Linked DNA regions of Saccharomyces cerevisiae S288C. The gene in region 3 interacts genetically with the main gene of each other region. Each region holds a gene or a part of one and is shown on either strand. Other genes may lie near its edges.

The links.
Region 1: mutations in TCA17 (region 3) and SEG1 together harm fitness more than expected from each alone (negative genetic interaction), as found in Saccharomyces cerevisiae (one large-scale study listed by BioGRID).
Region 2: mutations in TCA17 (region 3) and YDR249C together harm fitness more than expected from each alone (negative genetic interaction), as found in Saccharomyces cerevisiae (one large-scale study listed by BioGRID).
Region 4: mutations in TCA17 (region 3) and MCO32 together harm fitness more than expected from each alone (negative genetic interaction), as found in Saccharomyces cerevisiae (one large-scale study listed by BioGRID).

The regions. Positions count from the first base shown.
Region 1 is NC_001145.3:436,379-446,125, forward strand, and holds SEG1 (Seg1p), read left to right. Parts: upstream 1-2,829; coding exon 2,830-5,712; downstream 5,713-9,747. Other genes in the region: YMR084W (putative glutamine--fructose-6-phosphate transaminase), read left to right, coding at 250-1,038; YMR085W (uncharacterized protein), read left to right, coding at 1,113-2,411; PDL32 (putative ADP-ribose 1''-phosphate phosphatase), read left to right, coding at 6,149-7,003; VBA1 (Vba1p), read right to left, coding at 7,036-8,724; m-AAA protease subunit YTA12, read right to left, coding at 9,231-9,747.
Region 2 is NC_001136.10:956,386-964,140, forward strand, and holds YDR249C (uncharacterized protein), read right to left. Parts: upstream 3,418-7,755; coding exon 2,296-3,417; downstream 1-2,295. Other genes in the region: putative serine/threonine protein kinase VHS1, read left to right, coding at 1-1,013; YDR248C (gluconokinase), read right to left, coding at 1,373-1,954; PAM1 (Pam1p), read left to right, coding at 4,229-6,721; CCR4-NOT core subunit BTT1, read left to right, coding at 7,027-7,476; MET32 (Met32p), read right to left, coding at 7,605-7,755.
Region 3 is NC_001137.3:63,330-69,601, reverse strand, and holds TCA17 (Tca17p), read left to right. Parts: upstream 1-4,434; coding exon 4,435-4,893; downstream 4,894-6,272. Other genes in the region: threonine aldolase GLY1, read left to right, coding at 810-1,973; FRD1 (fumarate reductase), read left to right, coding at 2,805-4,217; seripauperin PAU2, read right to left, coding at 5,512-5,874. UniProt on the Saccharomyces cerevisiae protein: Required, together with the TRAPP II subunit TRS33, for TRAPP II complex assembly or stability, and for proper Golgi localization of TRAPP and the Rab GTPase YPT31.
Region 4 is NC_001139.9:592,359-599,872, reverse strand, and holds MCO32 (Mco32p), read left to right. Parts: upstream 1-4,035; coding exon 4,036-4,887; downstream 4,888-7,514. Other genes in the region: MUP1 (Mup1p), read right to left, coding at 1-456; YGR054W (translation initiation factor 2A), read right to left, coding at 1,252-3,180; protein kinase FMP48, read right to left, coding at 5,168-6,277; YGR050C (uncharacterized protein), read left to right, coding at 7,431-7,514.

The DNA.
Region 1 (9,747 bases), on a different chromosome or scaffold from region 3:
CGCTTGAAGGTCATTAGGATTTGGATTTCTTCCTCATTTTTAAAGGCGCCCCTTTTCGTTTTAGTCATGCTGGGCTAGACTAGCACGTAGTGTATGGAATCAAACTGATGCCGTCCCCTGAATTATATTTACAATTCAGAAACGTCTTTGAACATTTATAATTAAATTATAAAACAAAAGGAATTTGTAAAAAAGACTTTCAAAAGATGATCCAATAAACTAGATTAAAAACCCAATATAAGAAGAAGAATGTGTGGCATTTTTGGCTATTGCAATTTTTTAATTGAGAAGACAAGAGGAGAAATCATCGACACTTTAATCGAAGGGTTACAGGCATTGGAGTACAAGGAATATGACTCCAGTGGAATTTCGATCCAAGGTGATGAGCTGGAGTCTCTCAATATTTATAAGCAAACCGGTAAAATAAGCAGTTTGAAGGAAGAAATCGACCTTTACAATCTTAATAAGAACCTGCCCTTTATTTCGCATTGTGGCATTGCCCATACTAGGCGGGCAACACATGGAGGGCTAAGACGTGCAAATTGTCATCCACATAACTCAGATCCATCTAATGAATTTGTTGTGGTACACAACGGGGTTATTACCAACTTCGCTAATTTGAAAGCCTTATTGATGGCAAAGGGCTATGTGTTCAAAAGTGACACTGATACCGAATGTATTCCTAAACTGTACAAACACATTTATGATACAAGCATTGAACTCGGGTACAACCTCGATTTCCATGTATTAACAAATTTAGTACTTAAAGAATTGGAAGGCTCTTATGGTCTGCTATGCACTTCTTCTCATTTTCCCGATGAAGTGGTTGCCGCAAGAAAGGGTTCCCCGTTAGTTATTGGTGTTAAAGGTAAAACTGACATGGACGTAAACTTTGTCGAGGTGGAATATTTGGATCAAGAAGAAGACTACTTGAAGCTTAATACTCAAACCAAGAGTTCTGGTAATGTCTTGGCTGCCGCACCTGTAAAATATAACACTTGTTTAAGGAAGTCACCCCCCTTCGTTCACAATACCTGAGAAACTCTACAACTTCTACATTCAATCATGGCTCATCCACAGAAACGCCAGCCGAGAACGGCTTGCCGCGACCCATGGAATTCTATTTGTCATCCGATTGTGCATCACTAGCGCGGTATGTGAGTAAAGTAGTATATTTGGAGGATAATGATATTGCCCATATCTATGATGGGGAGCTTCATATCCATTGTTCTAAAATTGGTTCCGAGGACTTTTCATTTAGAACAGTTCAAAAATTAGAATTGGAGTTGTCCAAAATCAAAAAAGGCCCTTACGATAATTTTATGCAAAAGGAAATATACGAGCAGTGTGAAACAACAAAAAATGTCATGAGAGGAAGAGTTGACGCCTTTACAAACAGAGTAGTTTTGGGAGGACTAGAAAATTGGTTGACAGAATTGAGAAGAGCAAAACGAATAATAATGATTGCATCCAAGGCCTCCTTCCATTCATGCCTAGCTGCCCGTCCCATCTTTGAGGAGTTAATGGAAGTTCCAGTAAACGTTGAATTGGCCTTGGATTTTGTTGACCGCAATTGTTGCATTTTCAGGAACGATGTTTGCATATTTGTTTCTCGAAGTGGGGAGACAACTGATACAATTAATGCTTTGAACTACTGTATCAAAAAAGAGGCAGTCACAATCGGGGTAGTTAATTGCAGCGGTTCCTCTATCTCAAGATTTACACATTGCGGTGTTCATACAAACACAGGCCCCGAGAAAGGTATTGCAACAACCAAGTCTTATACTTCTCAATACATCGCTTTAGTCATGATTGCCCTATGGATGTCGGAAGATTTGGTGTCTAAAATAGAAAGGAGGAAAGAAATAATTCAAGCCTTAACTATAGTCCCAAGCCAAATAAAAGAAGTTTTGGAGCTTGAACCATTGATTATTGAATTGTGTGACAAGAAACTAAAACAGCATGATACATTTTTGCTTTTAGGAAGAGGTTACCAATTTGCCTCTGCTTTGGAAGGCGCCTCGAAGATGAAAGAAATTTCTTACGTGCATTCTGAAAGTATTCTTACCAACGAGCTAGGACACAGAGTCCTAGCTGTGGCATCTGATAATCCGCCAATTATCGCCTTTGCGACAAAGGATGCTTTTTCGCCCAAAATCGCGTCTTGCATTGACCAAATAATAGAAAGGAAGGGCAATCCGATTATCATTTGTAACAAGGGGCATAAGATATGGGAGCAAGACAAACAAAAAGGAAACGTTGTTACACTCGAGGTACCCCAAACCGTAGATTGTCTCCAAGGGATACTTAACGTTATTCCTTTACAATTAATTTCTTACTGGTTAGCGATCAAGAAAGACATCGGAGTTGATTTGCCAAGGGACTCGGCGATGTCGGCCCCGGATATATAAAAAAGTGTTCTTTAATTCCTTCTAATTTCATTAAAACAAGTACTTATATTTTGGGCAGTATGTAGAATAGATGTTCACACTCTATAGCCAAATAACTTAATTATTGGTCAAGGTAATCTCTTGCAATTGGTGTCACTGCCACATCTTTTAACGTCAACAGTAAATCCGCAAAATCCCGTCGCGTCGCCGCTAAGCAGGCCCAATTTTAGCTCACTGCGGCAGCGGGCTGGCCGTGTGGCGCGAGGGTCAACATGCAAAAAAGGACGATAGATAACCTTAAAGGAAGTATTCATTTCTTCGCTAAATTTTCAGTGCTCCCTTACTTTACCGACAAATTGGATAAAAACATATAAAACACAACAGCAACACGTAGCCATACCAACCAATTCCACAAATCACCAGCCGTTCGTTCCTAAAAATGTTTAGAAGAAGAACAACTGCACCAGAAATGGAACAGGCGGACCCGACAGCAGTGGCAGCTGCAGCAAGTATCGGTAAATTATTAATGAAGAAGGGTAATCAATCTGATAACGAACAAAGGCCGACCTATCGATCCGCTTCGATGACAAACTTAAGAAAACCTTCTGCCCCCAAAAGAATGTCTTCTATTTCTAGTATATCATCGGAATCTAGAAGGAGCGATGGTAAAGGTCGTCCCGGGAAAATAAACAGCCTTACCCAACGGTCATCAATGGGGAAGGGAGATTCATTAAATTCTCCTTTAACGAAGGAACCGCAGCACAAAACTAGGTCTCACAATAGAACTTCGAGTCTCCCTAACCAGAGAGGTCAGCAAAGCAGAAACAGTTCTGGTTTACAACGTCAAAAGTCCAAAACACACCAAAGAATAAGCTATGATGAGGCTCAACGTACGTTCAAGGATTTTGGCGGACCACAGGCCAGAGGAATTTTAACGGGACAACACCGTACTGAAAATCCTAGCGGGTCTATTCCTTTGAGGACTACGCGAAAGTATATTCCTGGGCCCAACGGGCTGGTTGCAATTGAGGTCCCCGTTGAAAAACCAAGCAATGCCAATACTTCTAAATTGCTAAGGCGTTCCAACTCTGCCCACAGTGCCTTGAATGCAAGAAATGGTTCACTTTTAAGAAAAAAAGTATCGCAGGAATCTTTACATTCTCAACCAAAGAAGACTTCGTCTTTAGGGAATACATCAAGTACACAAGCAAAAAAAGGCCAAAAGGCGGTTCAGGAGAGAAATCTTGCCAAGAAACATCCAATAAATTCAAATGTTCCTCTCATTGAAACACAAGTTCGTGAAGAAACAGACCAAGAGTTGAAACTTGATAATTCTAACTCTTCCGAATCCGAAACAGTAGTCAATAGCGAAAATAATCTAGAAAAACCTTCTTCACTAAACATTGAAAAAGATGATCTAAGCAAACTAATACATGAAAACATTGAGTTAGAAAGTTTTATTGAAGAAAAAGGGAAGGAAAAACCTTTAAATTCTGATCAAGAAGATGTTTTCATAAGCGAAAAAACTGTAAAAGGCGATGTACAATGGCCAAAAAATAACCGTCAAGCATCTACTCTTGAGAAAACTTTTAATTACGACAACGAAGAGAAGAGGGAGGGGAATAAACCAGTAGCAGAACATCCTCTTCCGGAGGCCGAAGTGGATGACAAGTCGGTTGAACAACTGAACAACATTTCTTCTAGCGGCAGTTATTCGGCCCAAGGATCAGTTGAAAACTCCAAACCAGAAAATGGCAATAAAAATCTAGAGAATGACACAACATCGTCTCCCACACAAGACCTTGATGAAAAATCCCGCTCAATAGAAGAGAAGGATACCTTGGAAGGGACCGAGAGTTCAAAAAAAGTTGAAAAGCCAGACAATTGTTGTGAGAAAATTTCTGGTGCTAATACTTCTTCCAAAAAAGGGAATGTTGGCGATACTAAGGATGAATTCTTCGATACAGTAGAAGAAAGCGATCAGAAAACGAGCAAGTCGAATTCCTCCAAGAACACCGATCATTCTAATCAAACAGAACCAACGCCTTCTTTGGCTCAGTATTTAAGGACCTCAAATACCTACCTTTCTCGAAAAAACCAATCGAAACAAGCTGAGCAAGAAAAGTTTCACAAGCCTGAAGCTCCTATGGTTCCTGTAACGAAAGTAGTTACACCAATCAAATCTGCTCTTAAAAAATCGTCAGGATCGTCCAACCATGACTCATCCATGTACTCTGATAACTCTCCCGCCAATGGCGCATACCTGTCTCTTACGACTGCTGAAAATACGAGATTAAATGCTCAAATGACGATGTCCGACAGCGTATCACGCAGAGCAAGTTTAAAACGATCTTCTATAAAAAGACCTCAGTCAGTAGGCCAGTTCAGAAGCATCAGATCAAATTCGCCTTCTCCCCCAGAGAAAATAAACAATAAACGCCATTCTGCTATACCCCTAGGAACCCCAGAGAAGGGTAAACCAAAAAGAAATTCGGTTATGGCTTCTCTGTCTAAAAATTCGCAGCAAATTCAAGAGCCCGCAAGTGTATATGAGTCAAATGGCCCAAATAAACCTAAAAACCAAATCAATAAGAATATAAAGAGAGGATCACAGATCGCGCAAAACAATAAACCTTCAACGAAGGACATGAATAGTATTTTGTACCCCAAAGAACCACCTCCTCGCAAATCTAGTTTTGAGAAGACGAGAAGCAATGAATCCCATCTCGGATTTAAAAAGCTTTCTTTGAGAAATGGTAATTTTGAGGAGGCATTGAGTGAAAGCTATAATGGGCAAGCTAGCCAGAATAGCACAAATGTGAATCGAACCGATACAGCACAGGAGTTTTTCAAATATTTGGGTCATTCATCAAGATTTGCGGATTCAGACTCAGAAGATGAGTCCCAATTTTTCAACCAAGGCCCATCAAAATACAACACAGAAACAGAAGGCAATAAAACCAGCGGTAACAAAAATAGTAATGGTGGTAACGGTGCTTTTTCGCTTTTCAAGAGCAAAAGTAAGCAAAAGGAAAATAATGTGGTTTCCCCTGGAGTCTCAAGTCCTAATCATACTACCACCGATCCTGCCATTACAAGTAAAAAGGTGGACAAGAAATTCAGCGGGTTATCTTTAAGAGCTGCCAGTGAAGCTGAACCTGCAAAAAATTCAAACCCTTCGATGACCAATAGGTTACGCTTCTCTAGTAATCCAGAGAACGGCGAAAGCAGGCTCCCACAAGCACAGGAAGTCAGCGTTACAAAAGAAAAGAAGGGTAGTTTCGGCAAAAAACTGAAAAAAATCTTTGGTAGAAAGAAATAGGGACTCTCGGCAGAAATTCTCTCCTTGTACAAGTTATGTATTTTATTCTTTTTCGTGCTCGTTCAACTTCTGAACGATGGCTTCCATGCACTGTAACATATAAAGGATTTTTTAATAATGAATAATCAAGAAATCTCCATTTTATATGCTTTTTTTTTTTTGCCGTTTCCACTGCAATCAATGGCGATATAATCGGATGAACAATAAATATTCGTGTTCCTATTCGTGTTCCTATACGTGTTCCTAGCAGCAAACAATAACAGAAGAGAAGCATTTGATTTTCGTAAAAACTTCAGGTGTGGGTGTTTCTTATTAACGGTTAAACTTTACGAATTGAATCCCCTATGTATAATGGTCCATAATACATCTTAAACCACCAAGCCATCTTCGTAATTTTGAACTGGGAAAATTGGGAAAACTGCAGACATTCATAATCATGACAGGATCTTTAAACAGACACTCACTTTTGAACGGGGTAAAAAAAATGAGAATAATATTATGCGATACAAACGAAGTAGTTACCAATCTCTGGCAGGAATCTATACCCCATGCATATATTCAAAATGATAAGTATCTTTGTATTCATCATGGGCACCTTCAATCTCTTATGGATTCAATGCGTAAAGGTGATGCAATCCATCATGGCCACTCTTACGCAATTGTTTCACCTGGTAACTCGTATGGCTATCTTGGAGGAGGGTTCGATAAAGCTTTGTATAATTATTTCGGGGGAAAGCCCTTTGAAACATGGTTCAGGAATCAGCTTGGAGGAAGATATCACACGGTCGGATCTGCTACAGTGGTTGACCTACAGCGATGTCTTGAAGAGAAAACAATTGAATGTAGAGATGGTATTAGGTATATTATTCATGTTCCGACCGTTGTAGCCCCATCAGCTCCTATATTTAATCCGCAGAATCCCCTCAAGACAGGGTTTGAACCGGTTTTCAACGCCATGTGGAATGCCTTGATGCATTCTCCAAAAGACATTGATGGTCTTATTATTCCTGGATTATGTACTGGGTATGCAGGTGTACCACCCATTATCAGTTGCAAGAGTATGGCCTTTGCGTTAAGACTATATATGGCGGGAGATCACATAAGCAAAGAATTGAAAAATGTGCTGATCATGTATTATTTGCAATATCCGTTTGAACCTTTTTTCCCGGAAAGTTGCAAAATAGAGTGCCAAAAACTAGGAATAGATATCGAAATGCTGAAATCCTTTAATGTAGAAAAAGATGCAATAGAATTGCTCATTCCTAGAAGGATTTTGACCTTGGATTTATAAAGGTATATAATATAAAGTCTATTTTCAATTTTTCAAGAACTTGAACTACGTTTGTAAGTATGTTTCACCAGATATAACGATAAAACAATTCCCACTGCTGCCAGGGCTATATTTGGAATATAGGAAATCAGGAATGCCTTTTTGTAGACATCAAGAATGCGAACAAATATATCCGTTGGAAAATTGGGCCCTCTCAAGTAACTCGAATCATTGATAAGGGAGTAGTACTGCTTTTTGGTGAAGTGATATTCGTCATCACGCTTGGTTTTGAACATATAATTCCATAACATGGACGACAGGCTATTCTCATAGGACACTAAAGTTAAAGAGGCACCAAGAACGTTACCAATGGATCTCCACAAATAGAAAACACCAGTCATGGTTCCTTGCTGTGATTTTTCGACGGTGAATACGATGCTTACTAACGTGGCCACTAATAGACAAGCGTAACCAAAGGACACAAGGACTGATGCAAACACATATATCAATTTCCACCATATTGAGTTAGATCTGAATGTAATAGACTCAAGCATATCATATATGGTGTAGTCAGGATTCAAGTGTGAAAGTAGGAAATAGCCCAATCCCAAACCCAATAGCTGCATTATCATACCACCAAAAATGATTTGATATGCACAGTGTGCTAGGTTAATTTTCGTATTCCGCAATACCCATCCTGTTACCAATGATCCGACTGCAACTGATATAGAGGGGAAAATCAAAAAGAGGCCAGTCTTTGTTACACTAATATTTTGAAGCAATTGTAAATAGATTGGTGACCTAAAGATTTCACCAAATACAACAAATGAAGATATAACCGTTACCGCTGAGCTCAAACAGAATGAGCGAGTCAATAGTTCGAATGGTAAAATTTTCTCAGTCGCGTAATAACGTTCAACCAGGATAAAAACAATAAAGCTACCAATGGTAAACAATGCTAAATACAACTTGTTCAACTGGCTAGAGCACAAAAATAAAACTCCACTAATGGTCGCCACCAGGCTTAATGAGCCAAATATATCTATCCGTGACAGATTCTTTAAGGTATATCTTTCTTTCATAGGAGGAACATGGAATAGCTTAATATTAATGTTTTTGATTGCTAATACCGAGCACAACATTATCACGGGTACTTGGATACCAAAAAGAGCCCTCCATCCAATGGTTTCTATAAATACACCACCCAACGGAGCACCTAGTAATTGACCAAACCCGAAAACAATATTCGCATATCCCTGGTAAACGCCCCTTTCTCTTGCTGTACATATGTCACTAACAGCAATGCTACTAATAGCATTCAATCCTCCTGCACCAATACCACATATGGCTCTTGCTATTGAGAATTCCGTGACGTTTCTGGCAAAACATGTTAATAAGCACCCAAGGCCAAAAAAAAATTGAGCGGTTAATAATGCTGACTTCCGCCCTGTTATATCAGAAAGCTTCCCATATAGTGGTTGGAAAGCCGTATTTGTCAAAAGAAAACTCGTCGCAATCCATTGCTTTTTACTTGATTCAGAGAATTCCTCAGCAACTCTATTCATTATATTTGCGACAATAGTGCTATCCAAGGAACTCAAAAAACTACCCAACCATAGCGAAAACAAAATGGGAAACTTAGGTAAGGCCAAATTATATTCATGAAATTTTTGTTCCAAGGGAGGGGCTTCAGCTTCCTCAGGTGGAGGGAGTAGATTTGAAGTCTCGTCTAGTGTTTGCATTCTTCTTGTTCCCTCAACAACTAGGGCTCTGAGCTTAGTGAAGAACAAAGAGGAGACAAAAAACAAAATAATTCGATAGAAAAAAATCGCTGCTGTATTCTTATATTTTGGGAATGTGGGTTGGCCTAAAGTGGAACCGCATGCTCTTCTCTATCACCGGCCCTTAAGATGACCTACGTTTATTGTCGGACAGATATCATCCAACAAAACGACGCAGTGAAAAAGTGTATCATGCGAATACTGAAGATAAGATAGGCTAAGCCGTGGAATCAGCGATAAAAAAAAGATCGCGTGTATTAACCAATGACAGCCTCACAGAAGCGCTTTGATCATATATAGATATAGGTGCATTTATACACGTATATATATTTACATGTTTTCAGATTAGATTATATGGTAAATACGTGACAGTGTTCTACCGAAAAAGAAAGATGTCTGGCTTTCAATAAAATAAGCAAGATATGTAGAACAGTCTTCCTCCATTTCTTTGTATTGTGAAATATCAATCAGTTTGTAGATGGCTTAGGCTCATTACGTTTTTCGTTTTTTTCTTCTTCCTTCCTGATTTTTTCCGTTTCGTAATCGTTCAAGTACTTATCAAAAGCATCATTCCTTTCTGGGAAAGGGCGCTTACCAAGTAAATCAATCATATCTTCTCTTGTCAAAACTTCTTTTTTCAGTAGTACTTGAGCAATCTTCTCTACATCTTCTGCTTTTTCTTTAAGCAGCTTTGTACATCTGTCATGGCATTCTTGGACGATTCTGTATACTTCGGAATCAATAATGTCACCTGTCTCGTCCGAAAATGGTTTTGTCAAATCGCTATCATCTCTCTTCTGGTAATTGACCCAGCCAATTTTATCACTCATGCCTAATTCTGTGACCATTGCCGTGGCCATGCTAGTAACTTTTTTGAAGTCATCAGATGCGCCACTTGTAACTGATGGGAAATGTAATTCTTCAGAAACTCTTCCACCCAGAGACATGGTCATTCTGTCCTTAAGTTGCTGTTCAGTTAGTAAG
Region 2 (7,755 bases), on a different chromosome or scaffold from region 3:
ATGAGGTGCTACAATCTGCAGTCTGCACGTTCATTGTCATGGATTATTACCCAACAGACCTATTCACGTCTATTGTAGATAACAGACATTTTGTCACTAATGGACTGCTAGTAAAAAAGGTTTTTCTACAGATCTGTTCTGCTCTTAATTATTGCCATGAGCACGGCATCTACCACTGTGACATCAAGCCTGAAAACTTGCTACTGGATACAGAAGATAACGTTTTCCTATGCGATTTTGGTCTATCCACTACTTCCACATATATAAAGCCAAATGTTTGCATTGGTAGCTCGTATTATATGCCCCCTGAAAGAATCTCATTTGATGGGAGAGTTTCCAGCTCTAAAAGTGGGGGACATAAGTTGGGTAAGGTTTGTCCCTCATGTAATGGCGATTTGTGGTCATTAGGTATCATCCTTATCAATTTGACATGCATCAGAAATCCCTGGCTGAAGGCTGACAAAACCGAGGATAATACCTACTATTATTTCACTAAGGATCCCAATATACTAAAGCAAATCCTACCGCTTTCCGATGACTTTTACTCATTATTATCTAAGATTTTACAAGTGAATCCGAAGAATAGAATGAGCTTGCAAGAGTTGATGAAAGAAGTTAGTTCTATTACAAGCTTCACCAATGAAGGCCCGTTATCAAAAGTGCCGCCTCTTTCCAAGTCTGTTTATGAAAAGTTCGTTAGCCCCGTCGATAACACGAATGAGAATTTGTCTCCAAAATCCTACGTGTACATGCACGATAGTAAAGCTGCCAAGAATTTATCTTATACATCTTCAAGTGAGGAAGAAGATGGAATCAAAGAAGGGATAGACGATGATAATGGCAGTCGCAGTGGCAGTTTCGGAACGCTAGACACAGACACTGGATTGCATTCTTCGTTCACAAGCACTTCTTGCGAGTCCGATAACGAATGTTCTAAGATTTCCAACAAATTTTCCTTGTTCGAAAAAAAATTCAACGAACTTCGCATGAGTTCCTCTTCTTTAACTAACTAACCCCCTCCTTTTTGGCACAAAAGTGTACTACACATCTGTTTTAAGCCCACAATTGATAGACCTTCTCTTGATGATCATCTGTTTTCCCGAAAATATTACTTGCCAAAGCAAGTTGTAGTTATATTCACACTTCCGTTATGACCCCCTCATCCGTTTAATGTTATTTGTTTTTATGGTATTCCCTTTATTCATTTTTTTTCTTGCTTTTTTTTGTTGATCCCTGTAACCCCTTTTTTTTTTTTGGAAGTTGCTATTATTATTCATTCACATTTGTTCTGTCTTTGTTAATTTTCCAGGTCACCGTATTTAATTTCTATATAACTGTTTCTAATATTTACTTCGTTTTATCCAAGCGTTATTTACTCAATATTCAAAACTTTACTTTTTACCACCTGTATAACATCTTTTTCAATTTGATAAAACGTTTTGAAATCTAAGGGAACAATGTCACAGTCAGTTTCGTCGTTGATGTCTGGTAACTCCAGATCCCTGAATTGAGACTCCATCATATCAGCTTTCATGAAATGACCCTTCCTTGTTTTGAGCCTTTTCAGAACTTCTATTTTACTTGCATACAAAAAGATAAAATGGAACTCCGATTCAGGGCATGTGTGCCTAATCAAATCTCTGTATTTCTTCTTCAAGCTCGAGCAAGCAACAATTGACAAATGCTCCTTAGTGCTTGCTGCAGCTTTTGTAGATTCTACGGCAACTTTTTTCAACCAGTCCCAACGGTCGTCGTCATTTAATGGAATCCCTCTTGTCATCTTTTCTACGTTGGCAGGCGGGTGTAAATCATCACCTTCGATGAATTTCAAATCCGGGTATATATCTTTAAATTCATGGATTAGTTCACCTGCAATGGTTGATTTTCCTGTACCTGCAGTACCTGCCAATACAATAACCTTAAATTTCCCCATAGTTTTGTGTTTCTCTGTCATCAACTGCGTTGTCCATCCATACGCTTACTGAGACACTATGAAAGCCTGTTTAGTCTTCGGAAAGCTATTTATTGCTTGCTACTTGAAAACCTTTTGATTATCGATATTTTTTAACGGGACCTTATATAATTATTGCTTGGAAACTAACGGTGTTATAATTTTTGACAAACTAATTAGCGACGTAATGAAAGCAGAAAAACCGCAAGAATATGAGAAAGGGAAAATATCAAAGAAAACAAAATATATTCCTTATATAACACCATCTTTTGTACATAAATGAATTGGCAAGCACATATTGTGCATGCATGCAAGGGGCAGAATCTTAATACTAAGTAATTTAATTATGCAAACATAACCCCGTATTGAGGCCTTCCGCCGCATTTAACGACCAAATCTATGAGTTTTAAATCAGACACCCGCCTTAACAGGTCCCATATAGTGCTATCAGATAAAAGTTCGTTTTCTGTCAATGATGGATTGTAATAATATTTCAGGATAAATTTCTCTATGAGCTGTAATCTTGATCTATTCTGCAAAAAAAACTCAAAGTTCAGACTCCCTAGTGAATCAGCATACGTGAAATATAATAAAAATATTACAGTCGTAAGGGGTTCAATAGACGCTAGTTTTTGCACTGTAGATCCAGAGACGTATAGGATTAAATCTATTGATTCAAATAGAGAAACAAAGGTAAACTTAGGGCTTAGGTCAGTTCCTTGCATATCAATACCTTGAAAAAACCATTCTATAAAAGGGGATATCACATCATATGGATTCTTCAAAGTAAAATGATTACCTAGAGACTTCACACATTCCCTACGTGTTAAAAAAATATGCATATTGTTGTAAAAGTTTTTAGGGAAGTCTTCTTTCGATGTATCTTCAGTGTTCATTGAACACAAGTCTAGCTCTTTAGATGTATCAAAATCGCCATTCTGCATATCTTGATAGTGCTTTCTGGGAAGAAAATGAGAAATATTTTTCAACAGGATAGGATGATGATCTAGTAGTAGTCTAAAAAAAGTTTCATGCTCAAATAATGTAGGGATCACAATATTTCTTGAATAAGCTTTTATATTACTTACGCCAAACTCCAGGGGATCGAAAAGATATTTTTCCCACATGATCTTCGATAATAATGAAAAAGATGGCTTCAAGCAACTATAGAAGAACCTGTTCAAGGTGACCATCGACGGTTCACCCTTTGTGAAAACGAAAATATGTTGAATAATCTCTACAGGTAAATCTTGCAAAGTTAGCTTTTGATGATGCCTAAGTTTCTTCGCAGGAAGCCTGATAGTCCTTTGATCTTCCGATATTGGCCTCTTGGATGAAACCCGGGTCTCTAAGAGATGCACATGGTGCTGCAAGTTTATCGAAGACGATGCATACCGATGCAAAGGAAGTGCATGTTTCTTTCTCTTATCATGACGGCTAGAATATCCTGTCAAAATATAACCCATGGCCACTTATTCTAAAAATACACTGCGTGAAAAAAGCACTGCTTACTTTAACAACATTAGTCCTCTTTAAATATATTTCATTACTCATCGCAAACTGAACAATTCTTGATGCTTAATTCTTACTAGCTGCAAAAAAGACAAGATGAAACGCGGTGTATGGTTGGACGATATAGTCTTATCCTAAATACACACAACATATATTGCGTAATAAAGAGATCTTCCTATCTATAGCACAATTTGAAGTTGAAAAGGCGTATCTAAAATGCTAATACTAAACAAGGCATCATGTTTTTGTCCCATTCACGTAGCACTGGCGATTTGCTTCCATATTCTTCTGTGTACAATAATAGCTTGGGTGGCTTTTTTCACAATGGGCTCTACGCGAAATTGTCGCAGCCCCCTGTTGGCCGTGCTGTGGGCCATTCTCGAGACTAGAATGAAACAGAAATCTACAAACATGAAAAGGTAGAGTAAAGTCGAGTAAGTAGTAGAAAAGAAAAGTGATATTGGCATACACGATAGCGAAGTTGTTCATATCTATTATCACCAGGCCATTCATTAAAAACTTACCGCTAAATTGAAAAAGAGGCGACTGCCAACATACTTGCCCTTTTTTTTTTCGCTATTATTAGTGTCCTTTGATTACAAACTACATCCATTCGAAAAGCTTGTAACCAACACTAAAGTCTGTGATTCTACCCAAATATTTGCTCTCCGTCATTTCTATTCTGTTTGAACTACTGTGCATATATTTTTCTTTTTGTTTCCTACATTTTATTCCCGGCATATCTCGCGATAGGTATATTGAATAATGACATCTGCATTAAGGGTTTTGGTATGCGGAGATCACCCAAATCTCATTCTGTACACATCCAGGTTTCAACATGCCAAAAATATAGAATTTTATCTTGTGAACAACTCAAAAAATGCCAACTACGAGGTTAGTTCACTATTTTATGGGACGGAACGGTTTCAGATTCAAAACCATTTCCAATCGCTCCTAGATTTAGTAGACCTTAATAATGAAAATGGTGGCTTGGTATTCGACTTGATAATAATGAGTGCGTCTTCACTGCAAGAAATCCCGCAGGTATTGAGAGATATAAAACCTATGATGAATAAGACAACAAAGATACTATTTGAAAGTAGCGGGTTTATATATTTGGAGCCATTCATCAAGGCTTCAGTTGATCTTTCGCTGTCAAATATTTTCAGCATTTTCACCGATTATGACATAAGACGGTTGGACAATGGCTCATACAAACAGTTCACGACTGCAAATGCCAAATCCTTTTCTGTTTCGATCGGTCAAACGACATCCGTTCACGAAAACAGCTATTCAAGTGATATTATTCCTATTTTGAATACATTTCAGAAATTGTTCCAAAAACTGTTTCCTAGGGACGTTGTGACTCTTTACGATCATTCTCCCTCCGCTTTCTTGGCAAAAGAATGGGAACTAGCTTTGCCTCAAATATGTTTCGATCCATTATTAATAATATTAGAAGAGAAGAATCCATCAACCTTGGATGACCACGTTTTGGCCAAACCTCTTATTTCAGGTTTACTAGGCGAGAGCTTATTAATAATAAAAAAAATGGGTATAGCCATGAACAATCCAAATTTTCAAAATGAACAGACTATATTGAAACATTGGAAGAATAAGTGCGAAGACTTACCTGATGGGCCGGCACTTTTATATAATTTCATCCATAAGGCTTCATCTTTGAATATTGACTTATTGTTATTACAGCCGATATTATTAGCAGATGACTTTGGCGTGAAGACACCATATTTAGAATGTTTGTTTACAATGATGACTCAATATCAATTGTTAAATAAAGGTGATTCTGAATGGTTTATTAGAAAGGATGAGAACACAGCGTTAACTCGCGTTGATGATTTACAAAACAGTATCGCACTTAAAGATGGAAAAATCATGCAGCTGCAAAATTCGGAATCAACCCTGAAAAATGAGATAAAAGAACTTCAAAGTCAAGTTTTGAGCTTAAAACAAGAAGTGTCCTCAAGTAAAGCAAATAATGGACAAGAGTTGGAAATTTTAAAGAAGAAAGTGCAAATGGGAGACAATTCATTATTTGATCGCCCAAATAGTAATACTAATGGTATATCTCCCTCTGATAACATTGTTGATGTTGATTTAAATTACGAAAGGAGTGACCAAGGTAATAATAGTAGTGGTAATGATAGCAGAAGACAATCTTTTTTCAACTCCACATCTGATACAACATTATCCAGAGATGAAACCTCGTTGAAAGAGCGTGAGTTAGAAGTACGAATGAAGGAATTAGAACTTCAAGAGCGTGAGTTAGAGTTACAGAGAAAAGCCCTCCAGCAACAACAACAATATCAACAGAGACCGCCTAAGCAAGTATACTCCGGTCCTTCTGGTACACCAACCAGCGGCAATAACAATAATAAAAGTTACAATCCAAATAGAAAATCTTCCTATAGTCAGCCTCAACATGTGGCTATGATGACCAGCAGAGGTCTACATGGTCCTAGCGCTGCAAGCTCTAGCCCTGTCATTTCTGCCAACAATTTTGTTGATCCAGTTTCTTCTGGGACGCCATATAGCAGCAATAGTTCTCGATTTAGTCAGCAAATTCCATCGCAGCAATACATGCATACTGTTAAGCCAACGAGTAGAAAAAACAGAAGTAGTGTCATGCCTAATATAGGTTACGTCCCAGGGCTAACCAATAACGAGTATGGTAGAAAGTTTAACGGTAATGGTATGAATGGTACCCAAAGCCGTCTGAATTCACTTTCAAACCAAAGTACGTTTAGATCTCAACAGGGTCCACCGATAACACAGCAAAAATCGTTTCAAAATAACGGTGGTAGCATGAGGACAAATCGCATACCATCTGCAAATTACAATATTTCAAATCAGCAATCGGGTTTTGTTAACTCTATTTCAAGTCCAAATCTAAGCAATTTGGAGAATAGAAACACAGTACAAAACAGTAGAAATGCGGATTCTGCTCCGTGCGTTAATCAATTGAACAGTGACTCTCCGCCCCAATTACAGTCTCTATCTCAAAACGGTACCTCAAAAGTTCCTCAGATCAATATTACGCAACCATCACCAATTCAGACCAACTTTGCTACGAGTGATAACCCTGCTGCTGTAATAAAACTAGGGACACCTTCTGAAGATACAGTTTCAGCTGCGGCAACAGCCAATAATATAAGTACAATGGGAGATGAAAGCCGCAAAGAGGACGTTAAGGAAAAAAAGAAGAAAAAGTTCAGTTTCTTTGGAAAAAGGAAAAAGTAACAAATACGCGAGCCCTTGTCTTTCCAATCCAAATAATCCGTTTTTGTTAATGATATGTTATATTTTATCTACTTATACATTTTATCTAAAACACTTTCTATTTGGTTAATGACCAACGAGGAAGTTTGTAGCTTCAACACAACTTTAGATCATGTAATAAACGGCATATGCTTTTAAATGCTTTGTTTTGTTTTTTTCTTTTTTTCCCGCTGTGACAGAAACAATTAAGTTGCGTTAAAAAGGTTCCCTGATAGAAATAAATACGGCTAAATTAAATAAACTACTACATAATCCTACAACATCAAATGCCTGTAGATCAAGAAAAATTAGCTAAGCTGCACAAGTTATCAGCAGCAAACAAAGTTGGTGGTACCAGAAGGAAAATAAACAAGAAAGGTAATTTATATAATAACAATGACAAGGATAATACCAAGTTACAAGCTGAACTTCATAAACTGCATCCAATGACCATTGAAAACGTTGCCGAAGCAAATTTTTTCAAAAAGAATGGCAAGGTTTTACATTTTAACAGTGCAGTTGTACAGATTGCCCCTCAATGCAATCTCACAATGATTCATGGCCAACCGAAAGAGAATACACTTAATGGGCTGTATCCGAGCGTAGCCTCTCAATTAGGTAGCCAAGAACTTGAGTATTTGACAGGTTTGGCTCATAACCTAGAAAATGAACAGACGGTGCTCGACCAGCTGGGCGACAGATGCAGCGAGACAAAACAACAAGTGATGAATAGCTGACATAGTTCATAATAATTGCCAGTAAACGTTATAGCTAGTGGCGAATGTCGAAGTGGAAATGCTATCACATTAATGTTGCAGATGAATATATATTTTCTTATTTGAGAAGATACACGCTATTTACTCTTTCAGCCATTACTGCTACCATTGTGGTTGTTATCTTGACGATGAACGATGTTGGATTGCTTGACTTTTTTCAGTAATTCATTGATACCCTCACCACCCGCAGTTAGTAATTTAGTCCTGTTTCTCCTACATGTCAGTGTATCATAATGTCTT
Region 3 (6,272 bases):
TAACTAAGCCGAACCTGGCCTAGAATTCTCTCTAACTCATTCTTTCTTTCATCTACTCACTCGCCGAAGAACAGGCACAGACTAATAAACTATGCAACCAGAAGGTAGTCGTCGTCATCGATATTCATCGAATATGTGCGGCGACAGGGCCTTCCTTCGCACAGAGAGCCACACGGCACGCCGGGGTAGCTGTTTCCTATTTTTTTTACACACGGCCCCAAATTGTTATTACTATTCTTTTTTTCTTCAACGCAACCAATACTTCTTGTTGTATATGTGCTGACAAATCATGCCAGCGGCAGGCCTGTGCAGCACGTGACCCACGCTTGGCCCGCTATGAAATGTCACGCGAAACGGACCCTTGCCTTTTTGGCGACGGCACTTCCCCTATCTGGAAAAAGCCGAGCATGCACCCGTACCCCACAAAGCTTCGCTTCCGGTTTCCGGGCAGCAGCGCCGTTTCTTTTTTCCCGCTGCTTCGCCCTTTGTATTACTCATTGCGCACTTTTTCACTTGCCATATTCGTTCACCGGTTTTTCTTTTTATTTCTTCGTCTTTTTTCGTCTTTTTCTTCACTGGATATACGCTTTTTGCATTTGCAATAGCACATATGTGTATATATATAAGCAAGTGTTGAGCTTGCCTGTCAAATCCTCCATGTGTCCTTCTCGTCTATCTTGTTCTGTCTGGTATAGAGTAATACTTACATACATATACGTACATTGTTTCCGCTGGCTAGTTCGTAACCACCTCCTTTCCTAGGCTTACACTCACTTTTACTCCCGCACACAAACGCAAACATAAACACAATGACTGAATTCGAATTGCCTCCAAAATATATCACCGCTGCTAACGACTTGCGGTCAGACACATTCACCACTCCAACTGCAGAGATGATGGAGGCCGCTTTAGAGGCCTCTATCGGTGACGCTGTCTACGGTGAAGATGTTGACACCGTTAGGCTCGAACAGACCGTTGCCCGCATGGCTGGCAAAGAAGCAGGTTTGTTCTGTGTCTCTGGGACTTTGTCCAACCAGATTGCCATCAGAACTCACTTGATGCAACCTCCATACTCTATTCTATGTGATTACAGGGCTCACGTTTACACTCACGAAGCCGCTGGACTGGCGATCTTGTCTCAAGCGATGGTGGTTCCTGTGGTTCCTTCCAACGGTGACTACTTGACCTTGGAAGACATCAAGTCACACTACGTCCCAGACGACGGTGATATTCACGGTGCCCCCACCAGATTGATTTCTCTGGAAAACACTTTACACGGTATTGTTTATCCATTGGAAGAACTGGTCCGCATCAAAGCTTGGTGTATGGAAAATGGTCTCAAACTACATTGTGACGGTGCCAGAATCTGGAATGCCGCTGCACAATCTGGCGTGCCATTAAAGCAATATGGGGAAATCTTCGACTCCATCTCCATCTGTCTATCCAAGTCTATGGGTGCTCCTATTGGGTCCGTCTTGGTTGGGAACCTTAAGTTTGTCAAGAAGGCCACCCATTTCAGAAAACAACAAGGTGGTGGTATTAGACAATCTGGTATGATGGCTAGAATGGCTCTTGTAAACATCAACAACGATTGGAAGTCCCAATTGCTGTACTCGCACTCTTTGGCTCATGAATTAGCCGAATATTGTGAGGCAAAGGGCATCCCGCTAGAGTCTCCAGCAGACACCAACTTTGTCTTTATTAACCTGAAGGCCGCTAGAATGGACCCAGATGTCCTTGTTAAGAAGGGTTTGAAGTACAACGTTAAGCTAATGGGTGGTAGAGTCTCGTTCCACTATCAAGTCACCAGAGATACTTTGGAAAAAGTCAAATTGGCCATCTCCGAGGCCTTCGACTATGCTAAAGAACATCCTTTCGACTGTAACGGACCTACCCAGATTTACCGTAGTGAATCCACCGAGGTCGACGTTGATGGCAACGCTATCCGCGAAATAAAAACCTACAAATACTGATGCGTTCCAGTTGCATCATGTGTATTGTTAGGGTTTTTGTTTTAGGATTGCTACCCTCTTCCTTTTTTTCATACATTACAATAATTTCGTGGCATTGTAGATTTAACGGCTTTCTTTTGCATCAATGATTTTTATATTCAAATGGGTTTTTTCTTTTTTCTGTTTTGTTATTCAAGGATATTTCAACTCTCACACCATAATTATAACTAATTATGTCGGCACATTTGAGAACCAATGGTTAGTTTCCAGCGCACCTAGCGACTAACTACCCTATTATGGAGGGACGAAGGTGGTCTTTCTGAGGGAAGGAGGAAAAAAAGGTAAGAACCTCTTTTCTTTGTTCCCCATTGAGAGATCGACTGAATATGTTTGGTTTTTTTGGTACTTGATTAAAGTTTACAACGGTACGTATCCACGTGGAGAAGCACATTTCTTTGTATTCTACGATACTACGTATTAAGATTGAATGTACCCATGTATATTCTCGCAGGGTTTCTTCACAGGATTTCGACGTACACCTTTTATACAAATATATATATATATTTATATGTATGCGTAAGAGTCTAAAAAACGTTCACTTTAATTCCTTTTTTGCTTTTACTACTATTGTCTTTCTTCTTTCATTTGTCATCATGCAGTGAATGACTGAAACAATAGAGACAGGTATGAAAAAGAAAATTTTTTTCTTTTCAAACGGTAACGGGGGCAACGCGTCGCGTTCCTGAACAGCTTAATCTATTGCACGTATAAAAGCTGAGAACAATACGCTGACATAGCACCCCATTTTTTTTTCTTATCTTCACTTCAACAACCCCTCATCCGTAATTGTAAATGTCTCTCTCTCCCGTTGTTGTTATTGGAACCGGTTTGGCCGGGCTGGCTGCTGCCAATGAATTGGTTAACAAGTATAACATCCCTGTAACCATCCTCGAAAAGGCTTCCTCGATCGGTGGGAACTCTATCAAGGCCTCCAGTGGTATTAACGGTGCTTGCACCGAGACTCAACGTCACTTCCACATCGAGGACTCCCCACGCTTATTTGAAGATGACACCATCAAGTCTGCTAAAGGTAAAGGTGTCCAAGAATTAATGGCTAAGTTGGCCAATGATTCTCCCCTGGCTATTGAATGGTTGAAAAACGAATTTGATTTGAAATTGGACCTATTGGCTCAATTGGGTGGCCACTCTGTGGCAAGAACTCACAGATCGTCTGGGAAGTTGCCTCCAGGTTTCGAAATTGTTTCTGCCTTATCTAACAATTTGAAGAAATTAGCTGAGACTAAACCAGAGTTAGTTAAGATTAACTTAGACAGTAAAGTCGTAGACATCCATGAAAAGGATGGCTCCATTTCTGCTGTAGTGTACGAGGACAAGAATGGCGAAAAGCACATGGTGAGTGCTAACGATGTCGTTTTTTGTTCTGGAGGGTTTGGCTTTTCTAAGGAAATGCTTAAAGAATACGCACCCGAACTGGTGAACTTGCCAACAACAAACGGGCAACAAACAACTGGTGATGGTCAAAGGCTTCTGCAGAAGTTAGGCGCTGATCTGATTGACATGGACCAAATTCAAGTTCATCCAACTGGGTTCATTGATCCAAATGACCGTAGCTCAAGCTGGAAATTCTTGGCTGCCGAATCCTTAAGAGGTCTTGGTGGTATCCTATTAAACCCTATTACCGGTAGAAGATTTGTCAACGAATTGACCACAAGAGATGTAGTCACTGCAGCTATTCAAAAGGTTTGTCCTCAAGAGGATAACAGAGCACTATTGGTTATGGGCGAAAAAATGTACACAGATTTGAAGAATAATTTAGATTTTTACATGTTCAAGAAACTTGTACAGAAATTGACATTATCTCAAGTTGTTTCTGAATATAATTTACCAATCACTGTCGCCCAATTATGCGAGGAATTGCAAACATACTCTTCCTTCACTACCAAGGCTGATCCGTTGGGACGTACCGTTATTCTCAACGAATTTGGCTCTGACGTTACTCCAGAAACTGTGGTTTTTATTGGTGAAGTAACACCGGTTGTCCATTTCACCATGGGTGGTGCTAGAATCAATGTCAAGGCTCAAGTCATTGGCAAGAACGACGAAAGGCTACTAAAAGGCCTGTACGCGGCCGGTGAAGTTTCTGGCGGTGTTCATGGCGCCAATAGGTTGGGTGGTTCAAGTTTGTTAGAATGCGTTGTCTTTGGGAGAACCGCAGCTGAATCTATTGCCAATGACCGCAAGTAACGAATTTTATAAATGAATCATTTCTAAACGATTTTTTAATAGTATATAAGTAGTATTAATATTATTATTATTTTTTTTTTTTTTTTTTTTTCACTTTCGAAGTTCTGCCGGAAGAGCTCATCGACGGCCAAGAAACATTTTACATAAAAGTTATTGAGTTGAAAATTGAGTAAATATTCTCTCCAAAAATCAAATTGTACGTTTATATCACCAAACTATGAGCTTGAGGCCTTGCTTCGTATCATTGATAGATGAATCTGATAAACCTATATTGATTTACGTCCCTAATGAGGCGGAGAATGAGATGAATGATGTACTCAAATATAACGTGCTTTCTAACATATCGTTAGATTATTTTGAAAGTGCTTTGGTTGAATGGCATTCTTTAGATTCCAAACCTCTTCTGAAGTCAATTTTTCAATTGGAAGGTGTCTCTGTATTTGCTATGTTGATTAAGCAGACGGGCCTGAAGATTGTCATTGGATTTGAACAAAAAAGCCTAAGTGGAGCTGATGATGAATTTGAAGCAATCAATCAGATTTTCGAAACCGTAAGAAAAATCTATATACGTGTCAAATGTAATCCTTTACTTGTTAGCGGTGACGAAAAGTCCATTATAAAAAGCTTGGAAAGAAAATTTGATGAGTTGTTTATTTCAACTGAAGTTGAATTATAAATGATAATTTATTAGTCGATTCTTTCACGAATGAAAGCAAAATTTAATGTCACTGCTTTGGAGTGAGAGCGATTCAGAGAAGTTATTAATGTCTAATATGTCCAACTTGGTGACAGTTTCGCCTTGCCTAATTAGCGGGGATCAGGTGCCGGTAGTATATCTCAGATGACCGTGACAATCAAACTTTCTACTTCATTCAAGTGACTGTCAATTGTCATGCTGTTCATGAATAAATAAGATACGGAGACAATTAAGGCGATCGCTTTGACTCTACTGCTAACGAAAATTGTCCGAATTGAACAGATGTGGAAGCAATCACTATACGTTACTTCATAATGAAGATATTTGTTGGCTTTCCGAGATATAGACTGATCTTTGTCACTTCATATCCGGCACGGCAATTTTTACATGGGATGGCTCGTCATAAAGATACTGCGACCTTTGGAAAGTCTGAAATAAGTGCTAGGTTATGGTTACAACGAGAATTGACAGATATGATGTGATTGTTCACGTATGTACGTATAAAGATATTTATACTACCAAAAAAAAAAAAAGGGTTTTTTTTTATTTCATTATCTAAGTTTCATAGCATTTCCTTCATTAAATTGGCGTTTGTCTCTAGTTTGCGATAGTGTAGATACCGTCCTTGGATAGAGCACTGGAAATGGCTGGCTTTAATCTGCTGGAGTACCATGGAACACCGGTGATCATTCTGGTCACTTGGTCTGGGGCAATACCAGTCAACATGGTGGTGAAGTCACCGTAGTTGAAAACGGCCTCAGCAACTTCAATTGGGTAGGTTTCAGTTGGGTGAGCAGCTTGGAAAGAGTAGTATTGAGCCAAATGAGCTCTGATATCAGATACGTAGACACCCAATTCAACCAAGTTGACTCTTTCGTCAGATTGAGCTAGAGTGGTGGTTGCGGAAGCAGTAGCAGCGATGGCGGCAACACCAGCGGCAATTGAAGTTAATTTGACCATTTTATTTGTTTTGTTTGTGCTGATATAAGCTTAACTAGGAAGAGAAGAGTGGAGGCATATACCAAAGAGAGGTAACCAAAGCAGTTCAATTTATATGAATTTCTCGGCCAGCTTCTCTTACATGAACGAGGGGCCACCTTTCACCTCATGAACATTATTGTTATTGCTATTGTTATTGAGATGCCTTTACTCATGAACGATCCATTTTTGGAGGTCTCGTATAAGAGGGCGCGGTTTTGAGTTAATGATACTCATTCGTATATTCAGAATGCAAGAATGTGCTTACAGTGGAGACTAGTTGAACCTTTTTTGAGTCCCTGAAATATTTCCAGTCTGCTAGCTCAGCAGTTGAGTCGAAGTAATATGATATGAGTGTTCGTTCAGAAACCACTGTTCAA
Region 4 (7,514 bases), on a different chromosome or scaffold from region 3:
GAAGAAAATATACGCAGCATACATACAGGTAATGAAGAATTTTGGTTTCCTGAAAATAGCCTCCAGGTAGTTTTTTTCACCACCATTTTTCGGTATAGCCGTACCGAATTCCATGTATACATATAACCCAGAAATGGCAATAATGGCGCCAACTGCCCACATAATTAATGCAAGCCCCACAGACCCACATAGTGTGTAAATGGTCGAGGAAACGGCGAAAACACCGGTACCAAGCATTCTATTACAGATAAGCCCAATACACGACAAAATACCTAACTGCTTTTCACCTTGGTCCAATTCTGTAGCAAATTGCTGGCCTGCCTCAAAATCGGAGGCACCGTTGTCAGCATCCACTGTCGAGTTACTTACTTCCTTTTTTGTAGTAGAAGAAGAAAATTGATAGTTCTCCTTGTTGAAGACATTCAACTGTGACAGAAACGTTCTTCCTTCCGACATTGCTCCGCCTTTGTTTTCTCTTCTCTTGTCTTTAAAGATTTCTACAGAATGTGAAACTAATCCAAAAACAAAATATGATGAACAGCGGAAAAGTTTGTGTGAGAATCATCCTTATATATATATACTGTATGTAATCTTACATCACCATATGAAAATAACGGGCTGACTCAAGAAATTCACCGCCAAGTAGGAGGAACCACATTTGTAATGCAAGACTGTGTTATGTGTTACCATGGTGTGCAATAACTGCGAAGGTAGCACCGCTTGAGTCAACTGTGGCAGTTTATTAGATGCCACTCGAGTGTGGTGAACGGCAATTCCACAGTCTAACTTTTCAGTTGGCGCCGTGCCATCTCCTGGCTGCTAGGCCGATCTGTTATACAAAACCCTACACGGCGCCGTTTCTTTTTTTTTTTTCTTTTTCTGTGGCAAAGCGGCGACAGCGACGCTAAAAAAAACTGTGGTGGCGGATGCAGCGCCGGCTTACGGAGCCGAAGTGACACTCCATATTCATTTATTGCCTGGCGGTATCGTGGCATACATTGTAAGATGCGGCTGGTGGCAATCCGCCAAGAAGAGACGTAAAAATAAGGAAAATGCTCACTAATTATGTATGTATCAATTACTATTTGATGTTAAAAAAATATGTGGAAAAGTACAATAAAACAAGGGAAAAAAAGAAAGGGGGGAGGTTGGCGTAATTCTCCTGGGAAACAGTAAAAAACAATTCAAAGTAGTATTATTTGACGTTGTTAATATTTACACAGTTGTATGGATACATCAGTTTCTTCTAGTTTATTCATCCTTCCAACCCAACTTTTCCAAATCTTTCAACACTTTTTCTTCAGTTTGAATTTTTAGAACTTGCGTATCTTCTAGTTTGTCACCGACGGCCTGTCTTTCCTTCAAGGTTTCAATAGCCCTTAATTTCTTTAGTAAAGATCTTATTTTCTTCTCCTCTGGAGAAGTTTCTTTATTGTTTGTGGGGGCATTTGTGGAGGCAGGAGCAGATGGGGCCGGAGTAGAATCAGGTGACGTTTCACTTGACTTTTTATTGGCTCTTCTTCTCCTGTTCTTGGTGTTGGCGTCCTTGTTGGCACTCATGCCCGGAACTAGCCCTGGGATGGTCTTCTTTGCTGCACCAGGAGGAACTCCGGGGACAATACGTCCACCGCCTGTTCTTCTTGCGTGAGGTGGTTTATAAGCGCCTCCAGCTTTGGCCTTAGATCCGTTTCCATTGGAGCTTGCTTCTCTGCTTGGGTGTTGACTTATGTACTCTTGAACGCTAGAATGTATTTGCAATTCTGATTTATTGGATATTTTAGGATCAAGTGAAGATGTGGTCGAATCAGGTAGCGGTTCCCAGTTATTAATGATATGGTTCTCGAAAAATGCTTCGTCTTTGTTTTCCAAAGTTTTGTAATTACATGGTGACCTCCAGTCTACCTTCAAAAGCTCCTTGAACTCTTTAACAAATACTAAAGAGCCTGATACATGCCATATTTTAACGCCGTTATCCACTCTCAATCTTGGTGAAGTGGTAGCTGTCATGATAAATTCTCCACCCGGTGACCATTTGCAGACAGAAGTGTTGGTAGCGTCAAATTTACTCACACACTTGAATTTGTCGAGACGATCTAGGATTTCCACGGAGCCCTGTAAATTACCAAACCCGGCGATAAGAATGTAATGACCAGAGGGAGAGAAAAGCATGGTATTTTTGGCTTGTTGAGGTAATGAATGGACAACATTACCTCTTAAGTCAAAAAAGGAAATGGTTGCTGGCATGTAACCAGCGATGACACCGAATTGCCTTGAAGTTGGCGACCAAGTGAAATCGTGGACAGGTCCAGTGGTTAAAGAAACACGTACAGAGTTACCACCCAAAGTCCCGTTGACACCTTGGAAAGACAGTAAGTATAGTGTGTTTTCACCATAATATGATTTGTTTGAGGAATCAAAATCAGTAATAGCTAAACATAAAATAGCATTACCTAATGGATTCCATTTCAATTGGCAGGAATCAGCTTTAAAGAAAGTTTTGGAGGCAATTTTCTTGGTGATTTTACCTTCAGAGAGGGCCCATATGATTAATTGAGCCGGTTTACCACCCTTTTCTGGTGTGAAAGTACAAATTGTTGGATGTTCAGCTGGAGAGATTAGGTAGGTGGTGAAATGTTGGGACGTTTCATCATCAGACAAGACAGCAAACGGAGATTGGAAGTCGAAATTGTCGGCATTAGCGGAGCTTAATTTAACAATCTTCAAGTCGTGTTTAAAAAGTCTTAGCCCATAATTGTCTAATTTGGAGAATTGTAAAAACCAACCGCTTTGGGATTTGGCTTGATATTCGTAAGCAGGGACTATATCCTCCGAAACGCAATCTTTCTTAAATGGTTTATTCAAATACCAAACTTTAACGTTCTTGTGATTTGGGTCTTGTATAGACGCTCTCTCCCAAGTGCTTAAGTAGTTACCTGCTGGAGAGAAGTGTAGGTCATAGACGTCGGACAACTTCATTGTTAATAGAACGTTATCCAAACATGGACCTGTAAAAACTTTGACGTTCTCCTTCGTAGATAAAGCCAAAAATCTGCCACATGGCGATAAAACCGAGGAAATGACAGGGAAATCCTTGGAGTTTGTGTTGGATTGCTCAAAAGTTGGGTAGCTTTGGAAGAGCTCTATATCCTGAGAGGTTTTCAGGAAAAACTGAGATGACATAATGTTTAGGTGTTATTGAACCTGACTGTTTGTTGTAGTACTATGTTTTTTTATCGAGATGCAATGGATAGTTTAAACACAACACGTCTCAATCAACACTAAAGAAAGTTATGATTCGGTAATCTATAGGTTGCTTCTACCGTAAAGAATTCTCGCTATGTCTAGTCGTCTGGATAGATCGAGGAAAAGGAATCTTCATTGAATAACGTACACTGAAAATAAATCGCTATGAAGCTGAAATTTCATTGATGGACATGAAGAAAGCGAAGTGAAAAAAAGGAAGAAAAAGAAAGTATTGAGGAACATTCTGCGGTCGGGTAATAATATCGTACAGTATGACAGCGGCAATTTTTAATAATATTTCTGCTCACTAATAAAGTAAAGAATATAAAGAAAGGACCTTAATCTAAGATAGATGTTACTTTTTCATCTTGCAGTTTTAACACATAGAACCGAGTCTAAACATATTGAAATATTTCGATTTCTTTTGTACGAGTGCTATAAAAATGGGAAAGAACTAAAAAAAATAGGACACAACATTAACTGCCTGAGTTTCTTGAGGAAAATATTAAAAGAAATATTAGTTAAATAAATAGATTTGGTGAGATGTATTTCTATACACTGAAAGACATTCATACGCATCTCATGATGAGTCGAGCGCCTTGCGTTAAGAAGGCGCGTAGTTACGGTTACGAAAAAAATGAATAGAATACAATGTAGAGAGCGCCCTTAAAAGGCCCATAAAGAGGGATGACAGGTATGAGCCATAAAGCTGCAAGCCTCTACGGAAAACGATACATCACAACCAAGGAAAGATAGACAGTTTATATTCATAGATAATAGGGGGAAAGACTTATGTTACTAAAGTGTGTTTGCAGAGCCGGCATAATATCTATCAAAGGAATCTTTCCTCGATGGTACTCCAATTCTCAAAAAGTGGCCAATTTGGGGCAAATAACAGATTATTTAGTGGTTAAAGGTGTTCCCAATTTGTTACAAAAAATGTTCAAGGAGTCAGTGTTGGCGGATAACGTTGTTTTTAGACTATTTCCAACATCGCATCCATATATTCCAGTGTTACATGGAAAATCAAAATACATGGCTTCTTTGAATGCAATGCGAATGATAGTACGAAAGTTTATCTTGGGCGATGAATGTCGCTTGCATATAAGTTCAGTAAAGACTCTAACATCGACATCGCATGATGAAGAAGTTAAATCTGCTCTTCAGAGTTATAATACCATAACATGTAATGACAAATTGGTGATCAAATGGCAAAGCTGCATACCGGAAGACCATTGCAAGATTACCAAATTAGAAATTAATGACAGATTGAAAGAGGAGAAACGAGGCAATGGTGCAGGCGGTTCATTTTCAATGAGGTCGGTACCAGTCATAGACTACATTTTACATCCTACAGCCAATAATTTGAACCAAAGTGTTATCTCTGAGTACCTTGAAAATGCAGCTGAAAGGTCAATGGAAAATAAGGTCAACGAAACTCAAAATTCCAAAGAAGATGAGAAGAAGAAAAATGATGGCGACGGTAAAAGAAGTAAAAAAAAGAGATTATCCCGGCTGATTAAGGGAACATTCATATTCGAATTTAACGAAGAAAATTCGAAAATTCTGGTTCATACCATTGAAGATGTTGAACTGATCCATTACGAGAAGAAAATTGCCACTCGCGGTGCATTTGCATGTTAATACGATATACAAGAATTAGATAGCATCTTTATTTGTAAATAATAAACACACCATCATAAACATCACCATCAACCTTGCACAGGAGAAAAAAGGAATAAAAAGGATAAATTGATTATGATTATTTTTTAAAAAAATGAATATGTAATATTATTTTATGTCGATTAGGTAGTATGTAATACTGAAATTATGCCAAAGTTCCTAACTAAAATTGGATAAGCAGGGGATAAAAAGTCAGATCAAGGAAAATGAGGCGAAACTTTCAAAAGGTCTTTTTTACTTCTTATTTTCCATCTTGAATTAGGCAAGGTTTCTCAAAATTTTTCAATTGGAACTTTGCTGGTACTGTTTCCGTGTTCACAGACCACTGTTCCCAAAACAGATCAATCTTATTTTGGTACGAGAAGCAGCTGTCCATCGAGCTATCTTTGTTCCATGCAGAATCAACTTCATTGATGAAATTCTCCATCGACCTCTCTTTAGCGTTCGATACCTTTAATAAGGTATCAACCATAATCTTGCACAAATGGAAGACATCATAAATGTCGGGTAGATCTTGCCATATGTACTGCCTCGTATGCTGCAGGCTAACGTGTAGGTCTTCTTCATCATTGTAACCACAGGAGAGCCTTGGTACTACGTATTTCCTGTAAATGAATGCAAATGGATCTTTTTCAAACTCATCGAAATTTTTTAGATGCTGAACCTTCTTTGATTTGGAGACTCTAAAAAGGCAATCGCCGAACATCAGATAAAATATGGTGGCACCCAATGACCAATAGTCAGCTTGGTATGTGTTATACAATGGAGCCGATGACCGATCGAAATTCTTCTTAAAACAAGAGTTACTAACGCGGCCAGAGAAAGTTTCTGGCGCCCTGTAATTATCGGTACCAATCTGGAAGTCGTTAGATTTAGGGGATTGGATAGCGTGACCCCAGTCTGCCAACTTGATGTCACCATTTATCGTTAGCAAAATATTTTCTGGTTTGATATCACGATGAGCAATACCCAAGCTGTGAGCAAAGCTGATTGCTGAGCACAGTTGTTTGATTATCTTTTGCATATCAATTTGAATCAAAGATGGAGACGACGGGCTACCTTGACTCTTAGCAATATCTAGAAAGTCATAAAGATCACCACATTCGCAGTATTCTAGCACCATGATGTAGTACGAGTCATCCGTGTAAAAGTCGAGCATCGAACAGATGTTGGGGTGAGGATTACAAGAACTCAAAATCTTCATTACATCATACTCGTTCTTCATGTTGGCTTCTGAAGTTTTGTATTTAGGAGTAATCTTTAAAGCGACGTAGCGGTTATGTGTAGTACTCCATGCTTTATAAACTGTGCTAAATGTTCCTGATTGTATAGATCTTAGTTTTGTATACATTTTTGCTTTTTATTATTCGGTATATGCTGATAATGATGTGCTTATTTAAATGATTGCGTATACGAGTGAGAATTTGATTCGGAGGGTATGAGAGTCGATCTTGAGTCCTATGTTATATGCTTTTTGTCAGTAACGGGTTATTTAATGCTAAGAATAGTTATTATAAAAGGGAAATTTTTTTGTATTAAGAATAGTCATCACTTACATGTGTATATTATATATATATATATATATGTATTGTACTCGTATTATTATTCTTTGGGGAAAGTATTAGTAGGTAGATGCAACTAAGCTCCGATTTTTCCAAAATTAAGTTGTCCCTTATTGCATGGTCCCCTTAATTATCCTTCCTTTATTGTATGTAACATGAAGCTGCATTTTTGTTCTCAGGCAGCATCATCGTTCCCTTCACCTAACCCTTCTAACTTCCTTTTACCTGTTGCAAGCTGTCTCATACCCGCGCTGAAAAGGCTGAGAACTGGGTATTGTCCCAATATTACGCTCGGCTTTTCTTTTCAAAAACTTTGTATTCCAGATACTTCCATGTGCAATTTCCCTAGTGCTCCCTGTACCAAGCCATCGGAGAGGAGATGCCTTCTAGAATTCAAAGCACGTAAGGGGTACAAAAATCGGAACGGGCCGAAGGCCGAAAAGAGACGGCCGTACGTGAGAGCACATGCAAAGTGGTGAACGGGACGTTACGGAGAATTACGGAACCTCTCAACAGAAGATGCGCCAATAGTCCTTCCGAACTAGCTCCACGGGAGGGGTATGAAGAGCAAGCTTGTTTACGCAGCCTCACCACCGCACCGAAAGACCCTCACGACAGAAATGGAGCGCCTTTAATGACGTTCGTCCGCTGCGGGCCAGAACAGCACAGTTTTGCTTCCCCGTTTCTTTTCCACTATTTCGTCACCCGCTCGAGGTGGCTCGCCCGCTCGGAGGCAAGCTGCACATTCATCGAACACGGAGAGGCACGGGCGAGAGAAAAAAAAGCCTATTGACCTAAACGGATGTCATAATGAAAAGAAGGAATCCGGTTTTCCTGGGCATGACTAAGGTAGCACGACTCAACTGGGCCAGATCGGTTGCTTCTTCCGATATACATGCATTAGATTAAGCCAAAGTAAAATCAAAAGAAAATTTAGCGGATATGAAAACCAATCTAATCTCCTCGTTTGCTTTCCGACCGCATGTAAGGTTCGGCTTTCTTGACTTCGGATATAGCTTAAAGTCG